Sus scrofa: one gene and its partners. The protein of the gene in region 3 purifies or fractionates together with the protein of the main gene of each other region. This does not show direct contact. Links are inferred from orthologs where the notes say so. Each region holds a gene or a part of one and is shown on either strand. Other genes may lie near its edges. The genes, in order: MAP1B, SAV1 and RASSF1.

Region 1 (7,545 bases), on a different chromosome or scaffold from region 3:
ATCTCACATGGACAGCTTATTTTCTAAATGGCCACATTCCTAGCTCTGGCCTACTTGCGAAGGACAAAGGAGTAAAGACGCTAACTTATCCACTCTTACATGGGAATATTACCTACCACTTGGTTACTCTGGTTAATATTCTTGGTAGATTAGGGTGAAGGGTAAGTAGTCTTGGGCCCACTTTGCAGAGAAATGAATTATGCTTTAGGAAGGTAATGTGGCTTTCCGCCAAGTCCGTGGTGGTTGGTGCTAACAAGAATACTTTCAGACCATCTTTTGTGTGTTAACTCATTCTGTCCTCAGGCTATTTCAGGTGTGGCAGATCTACCTCCTGTGATCCACAGTCCTAAGTCTCACTGAACGGGCCTCCTACCCTCTGCCTCTGGACACCGCTCCGTGTGCCGTGCAGACACTGTCCTGGAGCTCTTACCTGCATGTTGCTGCCCCACTGAGCCTTCCCTTCCAACAAGGCGTCCAGGACAGCCCGGCTGGGCTCCTCAGCAGCCGGGTCATTCCCACTCACCACGTAGTAGGACGACCTCACTCTCTTGAAAAATTCAACATCGACGTTCTTACTATTGCTGTGGTTGGGAATATAGCACAGGTCCAAGTACACAGGGGGGCCGGGAGGCACTGCCGAGGGCTTGGATGTCTTGGTGGTTCCAGGTCCTTCAGGAAAGAAACAAAAAGAGAAAAAAAGCCAGGGTCACAGGAATGCAAAGAGACCCATCTGTCCAGTACACCTCCCCTCCTCACTCCCAAGAAGGTCCTCTAGGCTATGTAGAGGTGAGGGTGCCGGGCACTTCCTTCTCTTGCAGAGGGCATTTGACACTGGCAAGCTGAGAAAATATTACCTGATTGTTTTCCATCTCAACAGGAGAAATGAAGGATGGGATGTCTCCCTTTGCAGACAACCCACTAGGAAGTAAGAAGGGTTTCAAGGTCTTGCCTGAGATAGAACTAGATGGTAACATTCCTCCCAAAAGAGCTACTAATGCCCAGTGGGATTTGAAAAGTAGTCTACGAACCAGATTTTAAAGAGCCAAAGAAAGCACCTGCATTTGGTAAACCATAGTCGAGCAATCTTAAGAATCTATGTTAGATCTCATTTGAAAGCAATGTTGCCCAGAGCTGATTGTGATACCGTAACGTTCGACCTAGCCAGTGGTCTGATCTTAACATCATAGGATTTCCAAGGCCCTCAGCACCTCAACCTCATTCATGATCTGACGAAATGCTGTATTCTCTCCTTAGGTCGTACTCAAAAATGTGAAACGTCTCTCCGTAGACAACACCGGATACCAAACTTTGGCAAGAGGAAGGTTCAGAAAGATTAGGCTTTCTCCAGCCAAACAGGACATACCAAACTGAGGTAAGGGGCCTGTGGCAGCCAAAATGCCCAGTCTAAATCAGAATACCTGGGCAAAGTAAAGATTCAGATTAACCCCGTGTTTTGGCACCTTGTCTGGTGAGCTGGCTTTTGACATTTTCTAATTGGAAGGTTTAAGCTTTTTGAGACATTAATAGAATGAGCACTCTAAGGCAGTGGTTCTTCGTCCTGGCCACATGATCAGAATCATGCAGCATGCCTAATACCAATGCCCAGGCCCCACGCCCAGAGTCTGGCTCCATGGAGCTGGGAACCACCTTTTTTTTTTGGGGTCTTTTCTATGGCCACACCCTCAGCACATGGAGGTTCCCAGGCTAGGGAGTCTAATCAGAGCTGTAGCCGCCGGCCTACACCACAGCCACAGCAACGTGGGATCCAAGCCACGTCTACAACCTATATCACAGTTCACGGCAACACCAGATCCTTAACCCACTGAGTGAGGCCAGGGATCAAACCCACAACCTCATGGTTCCTAGTTGGATTCTGCGCCACAATGGGAACTCCAAGCCACCATTTTTTAAAAGCACCCCAGCTAACAGGTGGTGTGTATCTGTTTTGAGACCACTGTAAAGCCATTTAAAATACTAGCTAGATCCATATATTTCATCTTCTTGCCTTTCTCCATGAGATGTAGGACAGTCTCTGGGAGACTGTCATCCCAGAGTTGAAACCAGCAATGAATTCCATCAACGGACTAGTTTTATTTTCAGGAGAGTAGGAGAGTGGTGAGAATCAGCCACACTGACATTTGGATAAACTCACTCAGTTTATGACTAGATTAACCAGCGTTTTAATGAACCTAAGCTGGAAGCCCTCAACATAGCCGTGTATAAGTCTCCAGAGAATTCTGCTTGTGACTTACCTTCCTTCTAATAATTAAAAATGTCAGCAGTTTCCCCTTGCATATTAAATCACTCCCATCATCACCAAACGAACATTGCCCATAGAGGTCCACACTGAGGGAAATGGCAGAAGTCGACCAAGGTTTGTTTTAAAGTTAATTAATAGTGTGATTTTGTCTTCTCAGCAATCTATTGGGAAAGCATCTTCAAAGTAAATTCAAACCAACTAACTTGGCCTCAAAATTTGTCATCTCTTTAAATGACAAAAAAAATTTTTTTAAATCAGTTGTGTGAGCTAAAGTGTATGTTTGGCAAGTTTGGTAGCAAATTTTAGTTGGGGTTCATGCCTTTCTCTCGACTTGTACTGGGTACCCACTAGTCCAGTAAATTTGCTGGTTGATAAAACAGAGCATTATTTTTAATGAGGATGTATCTCCAGCCTGATGATTTTTTCCTAATTAAAAAGTGTATACTCTTCAATTTTCAAGACGTTGTAACTTTTAAATATTTTTATTTTTTAAAAAATGGAACCTAAATCTTGGACCCACACTAGTTATTCCAGGCATGTCTTGGAACTCTGATTCTCCCTAGGCCTTTGGCACCTCAGCTTGATTCTGGGGCCAGGATGGCAAAAGCCAATGCCTCCGGAATCTTGTAGAGGAGCCTGAAACACAGATGCTTGGTTCTGAAGATGCAGAACAAGGCTATAGTTGCTGTGTTGCAAAAGGGAGCAAGCCCAGGGGTCACAGCTGGAGAATCACAGCTTCCGTGGGCCATATGCCGAGCCATCCCAGGCCCAGGGGCTACACTGGCCTGAGAGCTATACCTGCTGGCAGAAGAAAACCGTGACGGGAAGGGAGCACACCAAGTGTGCTCTCTCAGGTCCCTAGTTCAAAGTCAAATGGAAGCCCAGAGACTGCAGCTAAAAGCAGACTCATTATGTCCTGTAGCAGGATGCCAGCACCTTCCACCTACCTGCGGTTGCCGTCTTTACCGATTTGGATGTGGAGGCGTTGGCGGCATTCTTGGTCTCCTTGTCTTTCTCTTCCCCACGTGTAGCTTTGACCTCAGGGGTGGTGGTAGTTTTTGTTGCTTTTTCCACAGATTCTTTCTTCTTAGGAGAAGCCACTCTGGACACCTTATCTGAGGATTCCTTCAAGGCCCCTGGCTTCGGTGAAGCTGCAGAAGGCTTGGACTTGCCATCGGCCTTCTTGACAGGTGAGGACGACTTGGTCTTTGTCCCTGGCTTTTTGGTTTTGGTCTTCTCTTTGAGATCTTTCTTCAGAGCTTTGCCCAGGTTCTGCTCAATGGCCAAGGCCTCTGGGTCCATCATGGACACATCAGGGTGGCGTGGGGAAGGGCTACGGTCCTGCATGGGAGCCGGAGGTGGATCCATGTGTTTGTACGTGACGGTTTTGTCTGTGGGGATGGTTTCAGATTCATCTTCAGAGTCGATATTCGCATCCGCTGTGATGGAGGGGCACTCTTCGGTCTCCGGGGGCACGTCAGAGTCGGTCTGAGACGGGGCGGACTCGCTGACTGAGGTGGGAGGGGTTTCATCACACTGTCGGCCCTGGGGCTTTCCTCCAGGAGGTGGGGGGGCTCCCCCTGTTTGAGTCAGGGGCTTCTCTGAGTCTTCAGCTGGCTCTTCACTGGCAAACCACTCGAGAGGATTGGGGTTAATGAAGGAGGGCGAAAGCTCCGTCTTGGGATGCTTGTACTCACAGGAAGACACGAGGCACAAGTCAACATCCTGGCGAGCCTCAGAGGGGGACCTCTTTTCTGCGGTGTAGCACGGGTCTGAGGTCTCGTAGGAATAGGTAGACGCCTGGGGGGTTCTAGCCATCTTCTCTGCAGTCTCGTAACAGTATGCAGAGGTGTCAGGGGTTCGTGTAGTGGCTGTCGAGGTCTCGTAGGAGTAACTCTCAGACTCAGGGAAACTGGCAGCTTTCTCAGTGGTCTCATAAGAATAGCTGGAATCCCCAAGTGTCTGGCCACCCTCTTCAGAGTCATCATATCCATTGCTGATGTCATCCAGGAGCCTTCTAGACCTCTCAGTCTTTTCGTAGCTGTAACCACTCAGTTCAGGGGTTCTTGCTGTCTTCTCACTTATCTCATACGAGTACCCAGGCTCTTCGGGGCTCCGTGTGGCCTTTTCAGTAATTTCGTAGGCATAGCCCCCCTCTTCAGGAGTCTTGGTGGTTTTCTCAATGGCCTCATAGGAGTAGCCGCTGTCACATGGGGATTTGGCAGGGCTGTCTGTCTTCTCATAGTAATAGCCACTCACATCTGCACCCCGGGTAGTTTTCTCATAAGACTCATAGTCGTAACTCTCTTCGTCTGGGGACCTGGTTGTCATCTCCGGCTTCTGATAGGCATAGCTGAAGTCGCCGGGTGTCTTCCCACCACTGTCCTTCTCCATGACCGATGTGGCCAAATCTCTACTCAAGGCTAGATGGTGTGGCATCGTATCAAATAACATCGAGGCACGGAAGCCATAGGGCTCTGCGGATGCTGCATCCGTCGGTGGAGGAGAGGCAGCGTGGCAAGCGGCAATGCTCTCCTTGACTGCAGAGGTAGAATCTGAAAAACTCGGGGAATATAAAGGAGAGGACTCCCTCGGCGTGAGTGGAGAGATGTCGGATTTCGGTGAGAGCTTCTCTCCTTCCAGACTTTGCACTTTTTCAGAGGTGAGGGAGGCATATAAGGATATATCTCGGGGAGGAACAACATCGGATAGAGTATCTTCTTGGAGAGGAGAAGCTATCTGAGAAGGGGTGTGTGCGGAAGAGGTGGATGGGGAAGCCTCGACCTGGGATACTGAGATGAGCTCAGAAAGATCATTATCTTGGGTGTAGGACGGCTCTTCCGTTGGTGGGATCTTATGTGACAGACTGGAGTCCTGCATGTCAGAAGGACTATAGTCCACCTCCGTTGGCCCATTTTCAGTGATGTGAAGCATACCTGCACCCACTGTAGGGTGATCTGGAGACTGTCGGCTGAAGTCCATAGCAAGAGAATGCTCAGGGGATTCCTGGCCAAACTCAATAGACATGGAGGACTGTTCAGATCGGTGATCCTGAACTGGTGTCCTAGACTTGGCTGTTTTAGGGGAGAAGTCTGGCGGAGAAATTGACATTGGTCTGGGGCATTCTTCTTTAGATGGAGACATTTCTGTTTCCTGGAAAGTGGTGGGCGTTTGCACGACAGACACTGAAAGGGAGTCGTCTACTTCGGTGGAATGTGGGGAACCGACCTCCGCATGCAGCGAGGGGGACACGTCATCTGTTGTTGGCTCTGGAAATGAGCTCGTAGCCACAGAAGCTGTGGAGACCGAGGCCACTCCCTCCATGTGAGAGTATGTGTCTTCTGCCACACCCTCGTCAACAGGGGTAGCTGACTTGTCTGAGACAGTGCCTTCAGAAATGGACATCTTAGTGTCTTCCTTAAAAGATCCAAACTGACTGACATCTATCTGTGTAGGAGAAACATCTCCTAACTTCCTTTCATCCAGAGCCAGTCCTGACTGAGAACTCAGCTCCTCAACATCGTCAGTTTTCTTTTCTTGATCAAAATCTTCCTTTATTGGTATAAAGTCTGTGCTTTTCCCTTCCTCTTTGTCTTGGAAAAGACCAGTGGAAGTCGTGTCGGAAACTGGACTTATTTGGTCTGGAGAGCCTTGTTTTCCATTCTTTCCCTCAAAGGGGCTTTCTGTGTATCTACCAGGAGCCTTGTCGTCGGCACTTAGAAAACTTTCATATGCAGACTCGGATCCAATTAGCGGTGGGCTCCGTAAAGGAGACAAAACTTTCTCAATAGGAGACTCTGAGTCAGGCACAGGTTCATCCATGGGGCTTATGGAAGCCCTATCACTCTCATCTTTGGCATCACTGAATTCAAAGCTGACTGGGACTGCCGCTGGTTTTTCAATGGCTTCTGTGGGAAGGTGACCAGATTTCTCTTCAGTGGGAGACTGGTAGTAAGGTGTGTGGCCAGCACTGCCAGTCACAGACTGAGATGGAGACACCACTTCCAGGGTCTTATCCTCAGGACTGGCACAATGTTCTTCAACGACTTCTTGGGTCACCTCAGGAGACACTGGGGCTACTTCCGCCTCTGCTGAGACTTTAATCTCATTGGGTGTCAGAGAAAAGTTCACACTGCGTTCACCCAGAGGGGTCTTTTCTATGGGTGATGGCGGAGATGGACTCAGGGACGGGCTCTTGGGTGGACTAAGTTTTTCATCGGAAACTGCAGAGACGGTGTCTTTGACCTCCAACGTGGCACTGGCTCGCACTTCTTTGTCTTCAGAGCAGTAGGCATCACGCAGAGCAGATCTGCTAAATTTGTCTTCCTCCATGGATGAGGGTGGTGAGATGGTGGAGGCTGAGGCATTGTAATCCTTTCCATCAGTGGCATCTGTTTTTGACCCTTCAGACAGTCCGTTGAGTGATGTCACGGCAGGTTTGGCGTATTCCTGAGAATACAGTGAAGACTCGTATTTGGTGATGTTTACAAATTCTTGAGACGGGGACTCTGTCTCCTCGTTGTTGGTCTCATCACTCATCACATCTCGAGGAGTGGACATCTCATCCATGGGGGTGGGCTCGCTGGAGATCTCAATGGTGGACTGAGTGTAGCCGGAGGTGGCAGTGAATTCTTCGGGCTGGTCTTCCCGGTTCTCCTCATCAGAAGCGGTGGCCTCACTCTCCGAGCCACCAGGTAAGGTCTCGTCATGAATTGAAGATGCAGGTTCTCGGACAGGAGACTGGGCTCCCACCTGCTTGGCGGCTGTGGTGAGGAATCCATACTGGTCCTCGGCACCACCAGCCCCTGCAGCCTTATCGACCACGGCCATCACGTAGTCTTCGGCTTCAGCCTTTTCGGGCTCATAGTCTTCCTCCCTGGCATCCTCAGCTTTGTCCTCCTCCTCCTCGCCCTCCTCCTCCGACTGCTCAGCGTCTCCCTTCTCCAAGGCCTCGTCCATGTCTTCCTCTGCCCGGTCGTCGCCACTGGCGATGGACTCCCTCTTCTCCTTGATGTGCACGTCGGCCTCAGCCTTCGCGCTCTCCTCCTCCTCCTCCACGGGGCTGTGCTTGGATGTGCGTGTGCACACACTCTCCTCGCCATCCTCCTCCGGCTCCTCAGCCTCCTCTGTCTCCGCCTTCTCTTCGTAGTCTCCGGTCTCGGAAGACTCCTCAAAACCCGCTCCTTCGTCTTCAAATTTTTCAGTGTCTTCCACCCCCTGCTTCTCGACGGCCTCCAGCTCCTCGGGTGTTTGCTCGCATTCGCCCTCCCCCTCTGTGGTGGTGA
Region 2 (7,545 bases), on a different chromosome or scaffold from region 3:
TTTCTTTAAAAATACTGTTTTCCATCACGGTCTATCCTAGGAGATTGGATATAGGTCCCCAGCAGGACTTTATTGTCTACCCATTTTAAATGTAATAGTTTGCATCTACTAACCCCAAATTTCCAGTCCATCCCACTCCCTCCCCCTCCCCCTTGGCAACCACAGATCTGTTCTCCTGGTTAACTAAATATTCATGCATTTCCTGGAGTAAACACAACTCCAGTATTTTTTAGGACTTTCGATTTTTATAACTTGATTTCTTTAGCCATCTTTAAAAATAAAAATTAAAAGTTTGTTACTTGAAATTGCACAAAACCAAATTACTTAGGTGCAAAACAAAGGAATTCAATCTGCCTTTAGTATTCCAACTAAAGACTTCCTTCCTGTTAACAGAATTCCTTCCTTTGGCACATACAGTAAGTGCCTCACTGGTATGTAGGCCAAAATGTTAAAGGTCAAATTTCACAGCTAAATGTAGAACTTGCTAGGCCCTAAAATCCTTTAGGATATTATACAACTTGTTTTTTTGGTACTTCTGCTAAAATAGTAAGATGAAATTAACCCTTGAGACAAGGTGTTTCCTAAAAGCCTAAGTGACAACTCATTGACAGGCTCTACTACTCTCAAGTCATCACAAAACTATTTTCTTCCACACCTTTTTTGATGCTTATTACATTAGTAACAGCAATCAAAATTTAAACCTTGTGAAAATAAATGTGTCCTCAGCACATCCTCATTCTCCCACAAACTTACCTTCTTTCCATTCATTCATGTTCCTTAACTCTTTACAGCATAAATCTTGAAAATTTAATAAGTTTCAAGTCTTTTCAAGATGAATTTAAGAAACTTCCAGCTATTTTCTCATATTCAGATTTTTCCCTCCTGGAAATAATAGCTGTTAGGCTTTTCTGTTTAGTTAATAATTGGTTTTTAGTCCTCCCCTGCCACTTAGGAGCCTCCTAGAAAAAAGTATTTTTTTTTTTTCTGAAAGGCATTAATCTTATTGCCCTGATATAAACTAATGTTAAGTGAAATTTCTCAAACATGTATAACTGCCATAATAAAAGCAAGTGTTTTTTAAAATGATACTCTTGAATTTGTAAAAGTATCCAATTAACTTCTATTTTATTTACTTCTAAAACATGTTTGGAGAGGGAGTTCCCATCAGGGCTCAGTGGTTAACAAATCCAACTAGGAACCATGAGGTTGTGGGTTCGATCCCTGGCCTCGCTCAGTTGGGTTAAGTATGCTCAGTTGGGTTAAGTAAGTTGGGTTAAGTATCCGGCGTTGCCGTGAGCTGTGGTGTAGGTTGCAGACACGGCTCAGATCCCATGTTGCTGTGGCTCTGGTGTAGGCCAGCGACTACAGCTTCGATTGGACCCCTAGCCTGGGAACTTCCATATGCCCCCGGTTCAGCCCTAGAAAAGGCAAAAAGACAAAAAATAAAACATGATTGGAGAAAGTTATTTTTTTAAAGTCTGTCATTAGGAGTTCTTGCTGGGTTAAGGATCTGACTGCAATGGCTTGGGATGCCATGGAAGCTCAAGTTTGATCCTTGGCCTGGTGCAGCGGGTTAAGAATCCAGTGTTGCCAGAGCTGAGAAGAAATAAGTCACAGCTGTGGCTCAGATTAAATCCTTGGCCCGGTGGATTCCATATGGCACAGGTATGGCAAAAATAAAATAAAATAAAATAAAGTATGTTATTTAAATTATAAAAGCTATGTCAGGAATTTCCGTTGTGGCTCAGCAATAACGAACCCAACTAGTATCCATGAGGATGCAGGTTCCGTCCCTGGCCTTGATCAGTAGGTTAAGGATCAAGCCTCAGCTGTGGTTGTGGTGTAGACCTGTAGCCTGGGAACTTCTATATGCTATGGATATGGCCCTAAAAAGACAAAAACACAAAAACTACGTCAAACTGCATAAGCAGGGTTCTAAGAGAGGATCAGTAGAAATTTAGTTTTTACAATATTTCCTCAATGATATTTTGTGAATCAGGATTTTTTTTTTTTTTTTGCCTTTTTCTTATGGCCGTACCCGTGGTATATGGAGGTTTCCAGGCTAGGGGTCCAATTGGAGCCGTAGCTGCCGGCCTACACCACAGCCACAGCCACGCAGGATCCGAGGCATGTCTTCAAGCTACACCACAGCTCATGGCAACGCCGGATCCTTAACCCACTGAGAGAGGCCAGGGATCGAATAGTTGTCTTCATGAATGCTAGTCGGATTCATTAACTGCTGAGCCACAACGGGAACTACAACGAATCAGGATTTTAACACAAGATTTTATCTTGGTGTCATTAAATCTGCATACTTCAGGTATAAAAGTGTCATAAGCTATCAGTGATGTTTGGAATATAAACAATCGGTATTAATGGCAAACACTGTTATAAGCTATTATTCCCGATACTCTTCAGCTACCAAAATTGTCTTAAGACTCCAAACTTGAAATCTGTGGATCCATTCACTTACTCAACCATTTGTTTTTAGAGTACCTCCTATATAGCCAGGTGCTTTGGTAATCCTATCTGACTCTTCTCTTTCTCTCATCCCTCAATCCCCATTAGTGGTCAAGGCCCATTAATGCAGATGTGTCTCACTTCCCCCCTTTCCAAACATCCCCAGCCTGATAGGTCATTTAAAATATTACCCATCAAATGTGTACTGAATGGAAGATCACTGAAAGTACTTATAAATAGTGTATAACAGTAAGAAACTCATTCATATAAAAAGGCAGGGATATGAAAATGGACAAACTATAATCACAGTTTTAAAAAGAATGCCATGGAAAAAGATGAAAGAAATAACTAAATACATCTTGTTAAAATATATAAAAATGAACTTGTGTGTGTGTGTGTGTGTGTGTGTCTTTTTGCCTTTTCTAGGGCTGCTCTCGAGGCATATGGCGGTTCCCAGGCTAGGGGTTGAATCGGAGCTGTAGCTGCCAGCCTACGCCACAGCATTGCAGGATCTGAGCCGTGTCTGCAACCTACACCACAGCTCACAGCAACACCGGATCCTCAACCCACTGAGCAAGGCCAGGGATCAAACCGGCAACCTCATGGTTCCTAGTCGGATTCATTAACCACTGAGCCACAAGGGGAACCCCCAAAATGAACTTTATTTTTAAAACTTACTATTCTGATTAGAAAACAAATTATTTCAGTTTAAAAATACATGATTACTAGAAACAGCCAAAATACACAATAAAGTATCCAACTATCTAATCCTTTAACCTAGAAGTTCTTTAAAAACAAAAAAGACACGCACCTATTCTCATGACAGTACTTCTATATGCCTCTAGACATTTTATGTTATGTATTCATAGACTTCTAGATGAATCTCTTCTCTTCAATGTCCCAATGAGACTTGAATGTCAGCTTTCACAAAATAAGCTACTCTTGCCAACTACTCCATACTTTTAATTTTCAAAACTTCAGTGATTTACTTTCTCCCAAACCCATAATTAGGTCTCATTTTTCCTTCAAAAGTATCATAGATTTGCACTTTCCTCTCCACTGCAGTCCTCTTTTCTCTAGCAATCTATCTTAACTGGTAAGCTAATCTTGAAATAGTCCTTTCATAAAATGAACATCTTGTCCTTTTGAAATCTTCAATGGCCTCTGCTTGACTCAAATTTAAATCCTGCAAGCTCTTGCTGCACCACTAATCTCCATTTCACCTTACAACTTATTTCTCCAAACTATGCAGAAGTGCACAACTCCTTGGATTTATATCATCTCTGCTCTTTTCACTGGCCTAATCCTAATTTTCTAACTAAAATGTTCTTCCCATGTCCCCTGTCATTCTAAAGTCTAAGCTAAAAGCAAAAGCAAAGTTCAGGACCAACCTCTTCCACAAACCATTCTCCAAGTATTCTAGCCTACCCCGATCTCTTTCTCTTCTGACTCTTTACTGCACTTAACAGTCAATACCACAAAGTTTAATGACTACCTGTTTTTTGATCATCTTGAATATATTAGTTTCATCCTCCCAAATAGGTCCCAGAAGGCAGATACTACCAAGAGGGTCGGGGAAAATGCTAGACACATAAATGACTACTACGAAAACAGTTCTGTTAAAAGAAACAGTGCCAGTTCTAGCTAAGTAATGATGTAGTTGCCCATGGTGTCACCCATCATGCCCAATTCTTCCTATTTGCCTTTCTTTTCCCAGGTTGAGGTCCAGTTTCTCTGAAATCCTAACCTTCCCATTTTACCAAATCTAAACCTAGACGCAGTCCAACTATAGACATTAAAATCTCTAGGTTTTCCAGCTTCGAAATGTTAACAGTCTACATAGCCTTTAGCTACGTACCAAGCTTTTATAAAATAAGGTAATTAAATGGCTTAATAGACATGAAATTCCTTCCCTCAGTTCAGATTAATAATTATTTGCAAACTGACTTAGCAAATTGGCAAAATGTAGAAGTAGTTCTTTAGGAGTATCTGTTGCCTTCCCAAGAAAATCCAGAAAAGAACATTTTTTTAATGAGGTGTTAATAAATCAAACTCACGTAGTATTTATAATTTTAAGTTACCTGAAGCATGCCTCCCCTGATTTTGTGGCACTCTTTGGAAGAGATCGTGGTTGTAGTCATAATATCTATAGTCTTCATGTGTGCGATCTCCAAGCTGGCGCCTCCTCTGACCATCAAAATAATTATCGGAATAATAATATCGGGAACCAGAGTCTCCATTTTCAACAGCAAAATTAACTTCTGTTAAAAATGACTGAGAAGAGCCATATTCCCTAGGGACATCTGCTAGACTCCTGGCAAGATAAGAAGGTGCAGATAATCTGTTGCTTTCTCTTCTCATTATTTCATGAGGTGTTCTTTGAATTGGAGTTCTAAGGAAACTCTGGTTTCTTGAAACTATTCCATCTCCAGAAGCTGAAAAGGCATTAGAGCTGGAATCTGGAAGACAGATATCAGTTCGTCTTGGAATTGTGGGACCGTGCCGGATGAATGAAGGCATGAGATCTATGACAAAACAAAGGGTAAAAGGACCAATAAGTAATGCACTTTTCAGAAGTTGTTCATTTACATGTATCACCCCAAAATGAAAAACTTCAACAGATTTAAGAAAACATAATTAAAAATTTTAGGACAGTATTTGGGTATTTTAAAATTGAGGCTGGAGTTCCCACGTAACTCAGAGGGTTAAGGATCCAACGGTGGCTCTGGTTACAGCTGTGACACAAGTTCAGTCCCTGGCCAGGGAATTTGCACGTCATGAGCGTGGCCAAAAATAAAATTTGAGCTGACATCTTTCCACCCGAGTGAATTTATAATTTGTATGAATGTGTTATGTGTAAGCTCTGCCAGAATCAAATGTATTTTGCATCTTACCATACATAACATGATGAAATGTCAATAAGTTTAACTATTAAATATGTTATTAATGAAATACTCATGAAATGTATAAAAACAGTAAACAATCTAACAAATGGATACACAGTTACCAGCATAAGTTAACATTTTAGTGTGTTTTGTTGATTTTTCTTCATTTTCAAAATTCCTCAAATCCTTCAAGCAAACACAATTTAGAAAAAAGAAAACAAAATAATTTATAATTCTATTCGCAAACACATAAAAGTGATTTCCTTTAAAAAGATTTTAAAATGAATAACCTGGCCTTCCTACTTGTCGAATTGTGTAGCAGTAGTACATAAAAAGCTGTAATCAAAAAGTAGTAATCAAAAGCTGGAAAAGCTAACAATTTAGCTACAAAAATTAAAAAATAAAAAGATCTCATTTCAAAAAGGCACACAAATGTCGGATCTGTTCAAGAAAATGCCAAGACTGAAACTACGGCTCCTTTAAGAACAATTATAATTCAAAACAGAAGATAACAGAAGAACAATGGCTTTAAGGATACAGTACTTCTGAATACAGAATTTAATAGCTTAGGCATTCCCGGTTAGAAAGCAAATACCTTTAAAACAAGAAGAAAACTGGATTTGGCGACCGTTTTATAAGTTCATTAAGTAAACTATCAGAGAGCACTCACATTAATAAGCAACAGAAGCTAACTCTAGACAAAAATTAATATCAGAATAAACAAGGCTCAACATTTGATAAAACCAAAATATAAAATACTCTATCAAGTTATTTACTTAAAAGGCAAATATATCTCATTATTTCAAGTAATGTTCAATAAACTTTATTTGCAGCAAACTGCATGTTATCATTAACTCAACCAAAATACTAATATGTAACTGAAAAACTGATTAAAAAAAAAAGGTTTAAAAATCAAGTTTCACGTTACTGATGTACCCATCTAATATGCTCTGTTTTATAAGAAAGCACTGCAAACACATGGATAAATCTGCAAGTCTGATGTGGTTATAACGGAAAAACATGCTCTCCACCCCTTTCTGTGTGATCTTGGGCAAGTATTACTAGGAATCTCTATGAAAAGCTTTCTCAATTACAATATGAGGTAATGCTTAAGTCACAAGGTTAGGAGCCTCCCAGAAGAAAACTTACACAAAGGGCTCAGCCTGTAGAATGAGCACCAACAAATTAGCTCCTTACCTCACAGATGTTCTGAACACACGAAAATTAAAAATTCAATAGATTCAGCTGGAAAATTAGAATCAAATACTTAAAGTGAAGAGAAGAAAAGTGCCAGGGTAGGGTGGGAGAAAAATGCATTCTATTAGAGTTAAAAAAAAAAAAAGTTTTTGGTAACTTCCTGTAAAATATGAAATTATTTTGAGTACTTTGCCTTTTTGATTCTCGGCGGCGGGGGAGCTGGTATTTGAAGCAATTCTCACGAACACAGCCAAATACATATTTTGGCTCCTCTTCGCTAAGATCTACGATTGATGAGGCTTTAGGTAGCGGCTACAATAGCAATGATCACCTTTCATCTCCTTAAGTCTGCACCCAACAGCTGGGCTAAGGAATTCTACCCGAGAGTTCGCCCAATTTGCAGAACGGGCTAGTGACATCCGCAATGTTTGCAAACATACAGCAAATCTCGACGTAACTAGAAGAAAAAGTGTGCCCCAGTCTAATCACTTTAATTCCTATAAGCCCAGGGGATAAGCAATTTAAGTGTTTCCCAAAGAGCCTCTTTCTTCCAGTTAATCAAAACCAACAACACTGACGAAAGTAGACAGAGAAGTCTGTGGTTATTTGGGGGGGAGGGGGTCGGAGGTGGACGAATATAAGTTTCTTACTCTTCATCAGCTTTCATACAACCAACACCACTTTAAGCACAAGAAAATTTTAAAAACGAGTATTTCACAGATACCAAGGAGGAAAAGAAGCCGCGGAGAGAGGCGGCAGGCACTCTGCCCGGGTCCCCGTGGGCACCCCGGCCAGGTGTGGGCGCGCCCCGCCCGACACTCACTCCGCAGCAGAGGCGACGTCTCCTTCTTCACGTACTTCCCCTGCACCTCGGCCGGCTTGGACACTTCATTTTTGGTTTTCTTTCGGGACAGCATCCTTGTCCACAAGGCCTCAGGCCACGCCAAGAAGCCTCCCTAAGGCTCCGCGCCCGGCGCCGGGATTCCCCGCCGCCACCTCCGTC
Region 3 (8,269 bases):
TTCTCAGGTGGATCTCCCTCCGCATCTCTACTCATAAAACAAAGGACTTGGACTGGAGGCATTTCAGTGGAGGATTTCAGCAGCTATCCCAGAGGGATACACAACAGGATCATGCAACTTCCCTTCTGCACTGTAGCCACCCACCACTCTCTGCCACTGCCCAGAGTAACTGATGGTTTTATTTTATTTTTTTAGTCTTTTTTTTTTTTTTTTTCCTAGGGCCGCACTCATGGCATATGGAGGTTCCCAGGCTAGGGGTCCAATTGGAGCTGCAGCTGCCGGCCTACGCCAGAGCCACAGCAATGGCAGATCTGAGCCACGTCTTCGACCCACACCACAGCACACGGCAACCCCAGATCCCCAGCCCACTGAGCAAGGCCAAGGATCAAATCCGAAACCTTGTGGTTCCTAGTCGGATTCGTTAACCACTGAGCCATGACCGGAACTCCTGATGGTCTTATTTTACATACAACTTGGGATTCCCCAGCCTCCTTTTCAATTGCCTGGTGTGATGTGATTTTCTCACCTTTCCACAAAGGAAAATGTCTCAGGCCAGAGTGACACAGTCCCAGGGATCCACACTCAAACCTTGCACCCTAACTCTGGGCTGAGTATTTGAGGTACAAAATTTTCATCTAACGAATTATCTACAACTCCCTCTTCTTGGCTCACATAAGGAATTCTGCCCCCATTGCTGCCAGGTATTAGTTTAGTAACTTCACTTCGTGGTACCCATCACTCTTTCCTGATGCCTTGGCCAGGGTGCTTCTCTGAGATGTATCAGCTCCAGAACTGTTATTTGAACCCAGTGGTCACACTGACGTCACAGAGCATAGAGGTCTCCGATAAGGGGGACAACTGGGAGATTGTGAGAGGCACAGCTGTTCCGGCACCACACCTTAGTCCTGGATTAGTAACTCCTATTTCTCTTGGCCACTCTCAATCTAACTTTCCTTACTTCTTGTGGATAAAGTGCTCTTGGATGCTTACAGTCCAAAATAAAACTTCCTTCCCATCCATCCCCAAATCCCCTTTCTCTAGGTCTGCTCTAATTTCAGTAGATGTGCTGCCCAAGCGAGCACTCCTGATACACTTCAGAGGAAGGAGCATCAGAATCTTTCACATTCCAGCAGCTGGTAACAGGCCAAGAGGTGGGGACTAAATTGGCTCAATTCAGGAGGGCAAATGGAGGGGCCCAGACCCTCTGCTGGTCTCCCAAATACACTTCTCAATTCCGGGCGATCCCCAGAGCGAGGGTGGGAAATGGGAGGAGCGCCAGCCCGCGGAAATCAAGGTGTTAGTCCAGACTGCGCAGTGAGCCTCAGTAATGGGTGGGTAACGCCCGTCCCCCGTCTACCCCAAACTACTTAGCTGCCACCTCTGGTACCAACACGCTGAAAGCCCAACACACGGTTCAGAGGGCTGGCCAGGGTCGAATCCCGGATCCACGTTGACGGGAGGGCGGAGCTGCCCACAAAGTGCCGACACCTCAACTTACCGGGGAAGGGCGAGGTCCCAGCGCCCGCCCGCAGCCCGCCTCCTACAACCCCTGGCCCCCACCTGGTCCCGGCGCGGCCTCCGAGCCAGCGAGGTACGCGCGGTGAAGTACTGCTCGAGCTCTGAGTCCGAGTCCTCCTGGCTGCAGTAGCCACTGCTTGTCGTGCTGCTCCAGGTCATCTCGAAAGAAGGCGTCCCCGCGTCCGCCTCACCCATCGCCGCGCCCGACAGCCAGCCCCCGTGTCCCGGTAGCCTCCAACCACCGCCCCAGGCGCGTGTGCGCACGCGCGCCCATGTATGTGTGCGCGTGCGCCGGAACCTGTATCCGCACCGCAACCGTTAACACTGAAACGTAGACAGCCAGGATCTAGCTCTCATGTCATTGGAGGAGGAATGTCGAAGGGCGGGACCACAGAGGCCACGCCTCCAGGAGCGATATCTTCGCCAGTGCAGCGCAGCTCAACTCTGCCTCACAGGCCTCACTTCCCACCAGGAACTAGTCCGAGAGTGTGCGCATGTGCACCAGCGTGGCCACAAGACCGGATGCAGATGTGGAAAGGTGTGGAAATTGCGCTTGCGCGGAGCCTGGGCGGCTCCTGGTGGACAGCGCCTAGTCAACACCCGGTGTACCCCTTCGAGTCCTCGCACAGAGTTAGCTTCTCTGCTACGGAGAAGTTACAACGTTCCTTGCGCGTAGCGCCGGACGGCTTTAAGGAACGCCTGCAATGTGCCCCGCTTGTCTGTTCCTCCCTGCCTTGCCCATAAACTCCCCTGCCCCGTGCTCACCACGTTCGTATCCCGTTCCAGCGCCGGTTCCCAGCCCAGGTCCCGGGGCCCGCAGCAGTCTAGGCAGACAAGCGCGCGGCAACGGTAGTGGCAGGTGAACTTGCAATCTGCAGAGAGGTCTGGTCGTGAGGCGGAAAAACCCCAGCAGCAGCTTGGAGAAGCGTCCCAGGGACAGAAGGGAAGCCTCGGTGTGAAGGCCTTTGCTCTCTGTGCTCTGCATGACCTGCCTCATCTCCGGCCCCGTTACCGCCCCACTGCTACACAGATTTTCAGTGTTGGTCCCCGGGGGATGGGGGTGGGGGCGGGGGCGCCTGAAAACTGGCGGGGGCGCCTGAAGGCCTCACGCGTTAGGTTAGGCCTGCTTAGCAGTTGGATTCCTAGCGCTTAGGACAGAACTTTCCCCTTCCTTATTATCAGTGCCCCTCCCTCCGCCCATTTATTTGAAGGGGAAAAAAATAAAAAAATTTTTAACCCAATGCTCTCTACCCTCTCGGTGTCATTTGTACTCCCCTGGCACCAAAAGCTTACCAACATTGGTCTACAAACACTTAATTCCTCGCCTTCACCCTTTACCCATCCCAGTTAGGCTTGCCTCTTCCTCCAGACACGGCACTGTTCAGGGTTGTTAGCGACCTGTGCATTACCAAATCCAGTGGGCCCTTCTCCATCTTCGCCTCCTCAGCATTGTCTGATGCTTGCTCTCCTTGATCCCCACCCCGGGGAGGGGGTGCTACCCTGGTTTTCCTCCCACCTCTCTACAGCTCCTGCTGTTTCAACTTCCAGATTTAGTGGAGTGTCAAAGGCTCAGTCCTGGTCATTTCCCTGCTCTGTGTACACTGACCTACCCGAGATCCAAGGCTTCCCTCACTGACTCCAACCCCATCAAATCCCATGTGTCAGTTTCTTCGTTTGGATGTTTTATAGATATCTCAACCCAACGTGACCAAAATTTAACTCACTTTCCTACCCTTTAAAACTCACTTTTCCTCACTCTTACCCTTGCCAGAGCTTCTCATCTCAGCAAAAATTTCCCAGTTGTTTGAGGCAAAAAAATCACCCTAACTCATCCTTAATTCCTCCCTTGTTTCTGCCTCTGACACACATCCAAATTTTCCTGTTTTTCAATTTCATATTCACTTTATTTCTACTTGGGAACAGTGCTAATGTCCCAGCCCTTGTTCATGCTTTGCATTCTGTAACAACTCCTGTGCTCCTCCCAGCTGAATTCAGGACAAACTCCTGTACCTGATGAGGCTATCCTTGGACACACAGGCCTGGGACAGCTTCCCTAAGTTCCTAAATGGGCCAGAGCACTGATTCACAACCCAGGCTGCACATTAGAATGATCTGTCTTTAAAAATCGCTGATAACACTCTCGTGATCGATTCAACAGGTCTCAGGTAGGATTCAAGCATAGAGGTTTGGAGGACTGTAAAAGCATACTAAGTGTATAGCCAGGGGGGAGAGCAACCTCTTATTGCTGGTGGTTCCTGGAGGGCAGAAGCATCAGCTGGTGTGTGGACGCTCCTATTTTTTTTTTTAAGGGCCGCACCCACGGCATAGGGAAGTTCCTGGGCTAGGGGTCTAATTTGAGCTGCAGCTGCCGGCCTACACTACAGCCACAGCAATGCAGGATCTAGGCCACATCTTCGACGTATACCACAGCTCATGGCAATGCCGGATCCTTAACCCACTGAGCAAGACCAGGGATCGAACCCATGTCCTCATGGATACTAGTCAGATGAGATACCGCTGAGCCACAAGGAGAACTTCAACAAAAACTCTTGCTTGCAGGGGGCCTACCCAAGGGTCTAACTTTTTCAAGGCCTTCTCCCATTGTCGGGTAAATTCTCTTCACCCCAGGAATTCTGGAGGGGGACTTGGTGAGTGAATCTTTGTAAGGGGCAGGTGTGGGAATATGAACTCAAAGACTGGTGGGTACAAAGCCTTTTTCAAGAAGGATCAAGGCACTTTTTAAACTTGAAAGCAGCACCTTGTTATTCACAGGCAACCACTGCTGCCTATGTCCCATATGCAGGTGGCACGCTTGTAAGATATCAAGGTTATAACCCATCTGCCTGCACTGTCTTAGGCTATTTGGCAAAAGTAAACTACCTGGTCTGTGGTCCCCACTGACCCCCTCCGTAGCAACTTGGCCTTCAGCTTGGCCACCCGTTTCACTCTCGCCAATGCCCCGGGCGCTACTCACGTGCGCACTGCAGGCCCTTGCGCACGACGCCCCAGATGAAGTCACCACAGAGGTCGCACCACGTGTGCGTGGCGGGCCCCGCAGGCTGGAAGCGGTGGCCTCGGCCCGGGACCAGCTGCCTTGCGTTGTTGCGCGCTGTGCCCGGAGCAATGCGCAGCGCGTTGGCACGCTCCAGCCGGGTGCGGACCGGGGCGGCGCACCGAGCGGGTGCCAGTTCCCGCAGCTCAATGAGCTCGGGCTCAGCGGACATGTCCCGGTCCGGCCGGGACTCCTGCTGGCTCTGGGCGCCGAGCGAGCTCCCGACGGGCGGGGCCGCGGGGCGGGCCCCCGATGCGGCGCCGCCTCCGGGGTTCAGGCAGAGCGGCGGGAGAGCAAAAGAGCGCGGCGCCAGGGATACCCAGCACCCAGGCTGCGTCTGCCCTCCCGCAGGAGAAGTGGAGCCCGGAGGGCGCTGCACGGGTGCTGCTGTCGCGGAGTCCCCGCCCTCCTACCTCCCTTCATCCCTCGAGCTACTCCCCTCCCCCTAACAACCACGACGACCACGCGGAAAACAGGCGTCTTTATGGAAACCAGCTTTACTTTACTTACTGAAGGAAGAGGGTCCCCACATCCGGTTCTCACCCCCACAACCCCGCCCAGGGCCTCTCTCCCCAGCTTGCTGAGGCTGCACCCTAAGCCGGGTGGGGCAGGAAGTGGGGATGGCTTTGCTGGGGAAGATGGGTCAGCAGCACTTCCCTCCTGCTGTCTTCCTCATCTGGGAGGCTGGGGCACTTGCAGAGGCCAGGCCGAGATCCAGAGGTTCAGGGGTACACTCTAGTGGATTGTATGGCATGGTGGTTGGCCCTCAGCAGCTGCATCCTTCACTTGGCTCTGTCACCTTGGGCTGCCACAACACAAGACTTTCCATGTTTTTCCCAGTGCTTGACTTGGCACTCCCTGCAGGCAAGTGGGCCAGTAAAGATTCAGTGTTTGTGAGGGGTATGGAAGTGGGATTTAGGGATCCAAGATCCTAGGATACCCTCACCTGCAGCAGTACCACTCATTCTGGCATCGTGAGCAGCGCTTGGAGGCCTCTGCACTGCAGTAAGCACAGCGGGGTCGCTCTGGAGCCACTGCCTCCAGCACGTCCAGTCTGTAGGTCTCAGCCCACCTGGGAAAAGGGTCAGAAGGACTTGACTGGACCTGTGGGTGGGGGGACAGGAGCAGCCCTGCCCACATCCATGCCTTCTGCATCTCTTCCACCCCTTCCAGCAGGCCTCACCTTTGTGCTTGCAGCCTCAGGTCCTGCTCTGAGGTGCTGAATATATGCTGCAGCTGGTGCTTGGCAATAGCCTGCCACTTGCCTTTGTTCTCTTGCTCTAGCCGCTCCCAGATTTCTGGGATCTGGGGAAGAGAAATGGAGAGTAGCAGGGAGGAGCTGGCAAAGTGGGCAGTGGTCCCGAGCAACTAACTTTCTAGTGCCTACCTGTTCCAACACCAGGTCTTTCTTAGGGGGCTGGGCTTCGGCCAGGGCCAGGTGGGCTAGGAAACCCTGCAGGTCTGCCAGGTTGGGCATCTGGTCCAGCAGCGTGTCTGTGAGGAATGCCTGAAGCTGCAAGGGTTTCCAGGGAGGCCAGTGTGAAGCAGTGCTGACCAGAAGGTCAAGGAACAGAGAGACCCTGGGCTGGGTTGGACTAAGGATGCCCGTGGGACCCACATCCCATTAGCTTCTGTGTGTGTCACCTGAGGCCCAAGTTCTGGAGAGAGGCCTAGGGTTGAGGCAGGTGGGTAAAAATAAACAGGGGTGGGGTGGGGCAGGGCTAGGGGGCTGTGGGGCTGATATGGGAGGAGTTCCTACCTTGAGTAGCTGTCCTTTAGCAAAGCTGGTGAGGCAATAGTGGGCTCGGGCCTCGGGGCTTAGCAGCAGGTTGTACAGGGCAATCCACACCTGCCCATCCAACTTGCTCAGTTTTTGCTGCTCTGATGGGGGCACTGTCTGCCAACGGCCACTCTCAAATTGCTGCAGCTTGCCTGGGGAGAGGAACCAGCATACTGGGTACAAACATCGCATGCTCTTTGAGTGAGCCAGCTGCGTGGGCTGGGAGACTGACCACTGCCTGGGCACAGGACTTGCCCAGGCTGGGGTGCTGCTTGCTTTAGAGCAGGGTGAGTTCTTTGCCTGCTGCAGAGAACAGGCCTAGGTCCAATTTGTTTTTTTTTGGGGGGGATGTACCTATGGCATGCAGAAGTTCCCAGACCAGGGATCAAACTTGCGCTACAGCAGTGACCAGAGCCACAGTAGTGAAAATGCCATATATATATATTTTTTAATACTTTTTTTCCTTTTTATGGCCATACCTGTGGCCTATGGAAGCTCCCAGGCTAGGGGTTGAATCAGAGCTGTAGCTGCTGGCCTACACTACAGCCATGACAATACTGGATCCTTAACCCACTAAGTGAGGCCAGGGATTGCACCTGCATCCTCATGGATACTATGTTCGGTTCTTTACCCTCTGAGCCACAACGGAAACTCTGAAAATGCCAGATTTTTAACTGCTAGGCCACTAGGGAACTCCCTAGGCCCACTTTAGGTGAGGCATTCTGGTATTCTCTGTGGGCAAGGGGGCAGAGTTTGTCTGCTTGTGTGCAAGCTGCCCCCCTGTCAATCCTGGAGGATGTCCTGGAAGCAGTGGGCTGGGGCTTAGGCAGATGGAAGAGGACCTTACCTCCTTCCTGCCGGCTCCAGGGACTATGCTCCAGCAATTCCACCAGGAGACAGGGTAGGTTGTGGGTGCTGAGCATGCGGCTCAAGGTGCTCAGGGAAAGGCTAGGGACAGAGATAGAAAGGTAAGGAGAAACTACAAGCCCAGGCTCCCAGCCCTCCATTTCAGGCCCCAGACCTGGTAGGGCTGCCCACCTGTCCACACAGTCTGTAATGTAGCGCAGCACCGAGAGGGCCTTCAGTGCAATCTCAAATTCCATCAGCTCTGCCTGCTTTTGTAGTTCCTGAGTTGGGGGGTGGGACACACGGCGTTCAAGGTGGGCCATCTTCTTGCCTGCTTAGACCTGGGGGAGCCTGGGTCTAGCCCTTGCCAATCCTAGGGAACCTCAGCCCACCTGCATGGGGGTGCTGTACTGGGACTCCTCTTCCTCTGAGGGGCCATCATGGCCACAATGGGCCACCAACAAAGTTAGTTTGCGGTGGCAGTAGTCCACAAGGTCCAAGACAGTGTCCTCTGCTGATTCACACACCTCCTGGGGGTCAGGAGGAGGGGAACATTCTGTCTCTGATGCCCTTCCCACACAGATACAACCCCCCTTGCTGCCAGGCTCTGGCCTGGGGCAGTAGCCAGTGGGCAGGGCGGGTGCCTCACCTTGTGGAAGAACACTGTCTCCAGGAGGTTGATGATGGAGGCTTCGTGGTGTATCTGTCAGTTAAAGAGGAGAACAGGACCCTGGGCTGCTGGAAGAGGGATAGGGGCTACCAGCTTCCTTCTCTAGTCTGGGTCCCTCTGAGGGGCTGAACAGGGGTATGAACCAATGGCCCAGCTCACCACCATGTATATGGGAAAAGTATTCTGGGGCTTGAAGTCCTCCAGCTTGCACAGCACAGGGAACACCTTCTGCTTCCACATCTCCACTGCAATCAGCTCCTCCACCAGCGTGGGGATCTTTGGGGTGAGGGGGTTAATACAGGGATGAGACGGGCCTGCCTTGGCCTGGCAACTTTCCTGTTCCTGGCTCAGCCCAGCCCAGCTCTTGTCAAACTCCCCTGGGCCCGTAGACTCTCACACACCC

What was found.
Region 1: the proteins of RASSF1 (region 3) and MAP1B purify together in Homo sapiens (affinity purification with mass spectrometry; 3 studies listed by BioGRID and IntAct, counting the BioPlex papers as one, with this or other methods). This does not show direct contact. The link is inferred for Sus scrofa from reciprocal best matches to the Homo sapiens genes RASSF1 and MAP1B.
Region 2: the proteins of RASSF1 (region 3) and SAV1 purify together in Homo sapiens (affinity purification with western blotting; 3 studies listed by BioGRID, with this or other methods). This does not show direct contact. The link is inferred for Sus scrofa from reciprocal best matches to the Homo sapiens genes RASSF1 and SAV1.

What each region holds. Positions count from the first base shown.
Region 1 is NC_010458.4:48,487,768-48,495,312, reverse strand, and holds part of MAP1B (microtubule-associated protein 1B), read right to left. Parts: coding exon 3,208-7,545; intron 670-3,207; coding exon 431-669; intron 1-430. UniProt on the Homo sapiens protein: Facilitates tyrosination of alpha-tubulin in neuronal microtubules. Phosphorylated MAP1B is required for proper microtubule dynamics and plays a role in the cytoskeletal changes that accompany neuronal differentiation and neurite extension.
Region 2 is NC_010443.5:180,426,609-180,434,153, forward strand, and holds part of SAV1 (protein salvador homolog 1), read right to left. Parts: 5' UTR 7,460-7,545; coding exon 7,366-7,459; intron 4,986-7,365; coding exon 4,542-4,985; intron 1-4,541. UniProt on the Homo sapiens protein: Regulator of STK3/MST2 and STK4/MST1 in the Hippo signaling pathway which plays a pivotal role in organ size control and tumor suppression by restricting proliferation and promoting apoptosis.
Region 3 is NC_010455.5:32,820,318-32,828,586, forward strand, and holds the start of RASSF1 (ras association domain-containing protein 1), read right to left. Parts: upstream 5,048-8,269; 5' UTR 4,743-5,047; coding exon 4,493-4,742; intron 2,391-4,492; coding exon 2,284-2,390; exon of another isoform or gene 1,714-2,283; coding exon of another isoform or gene 1,561-1,713; intron 28-1,560; exon of another isoform or gene 1-27. Other genes in the region: ZMYND10 (zinc finger MYND domain-containing protein 10), read right to left, coding at 5,353-5,428, 5,517-5,642, 5,754-5,875, 5,958-6,083, 6,330-6,502, 7,198-7,298, 7,389-7,477, 7,589-7,726 and 2 more. UniProt on the Homo sapiens protein: Potential tumor suppressor. Required for death receptor-dependent apoptosis. Mediates activation of STK3/MST2 and STK4/MST1 during Fas-induced apoptosis by preventing their dephosphorylation.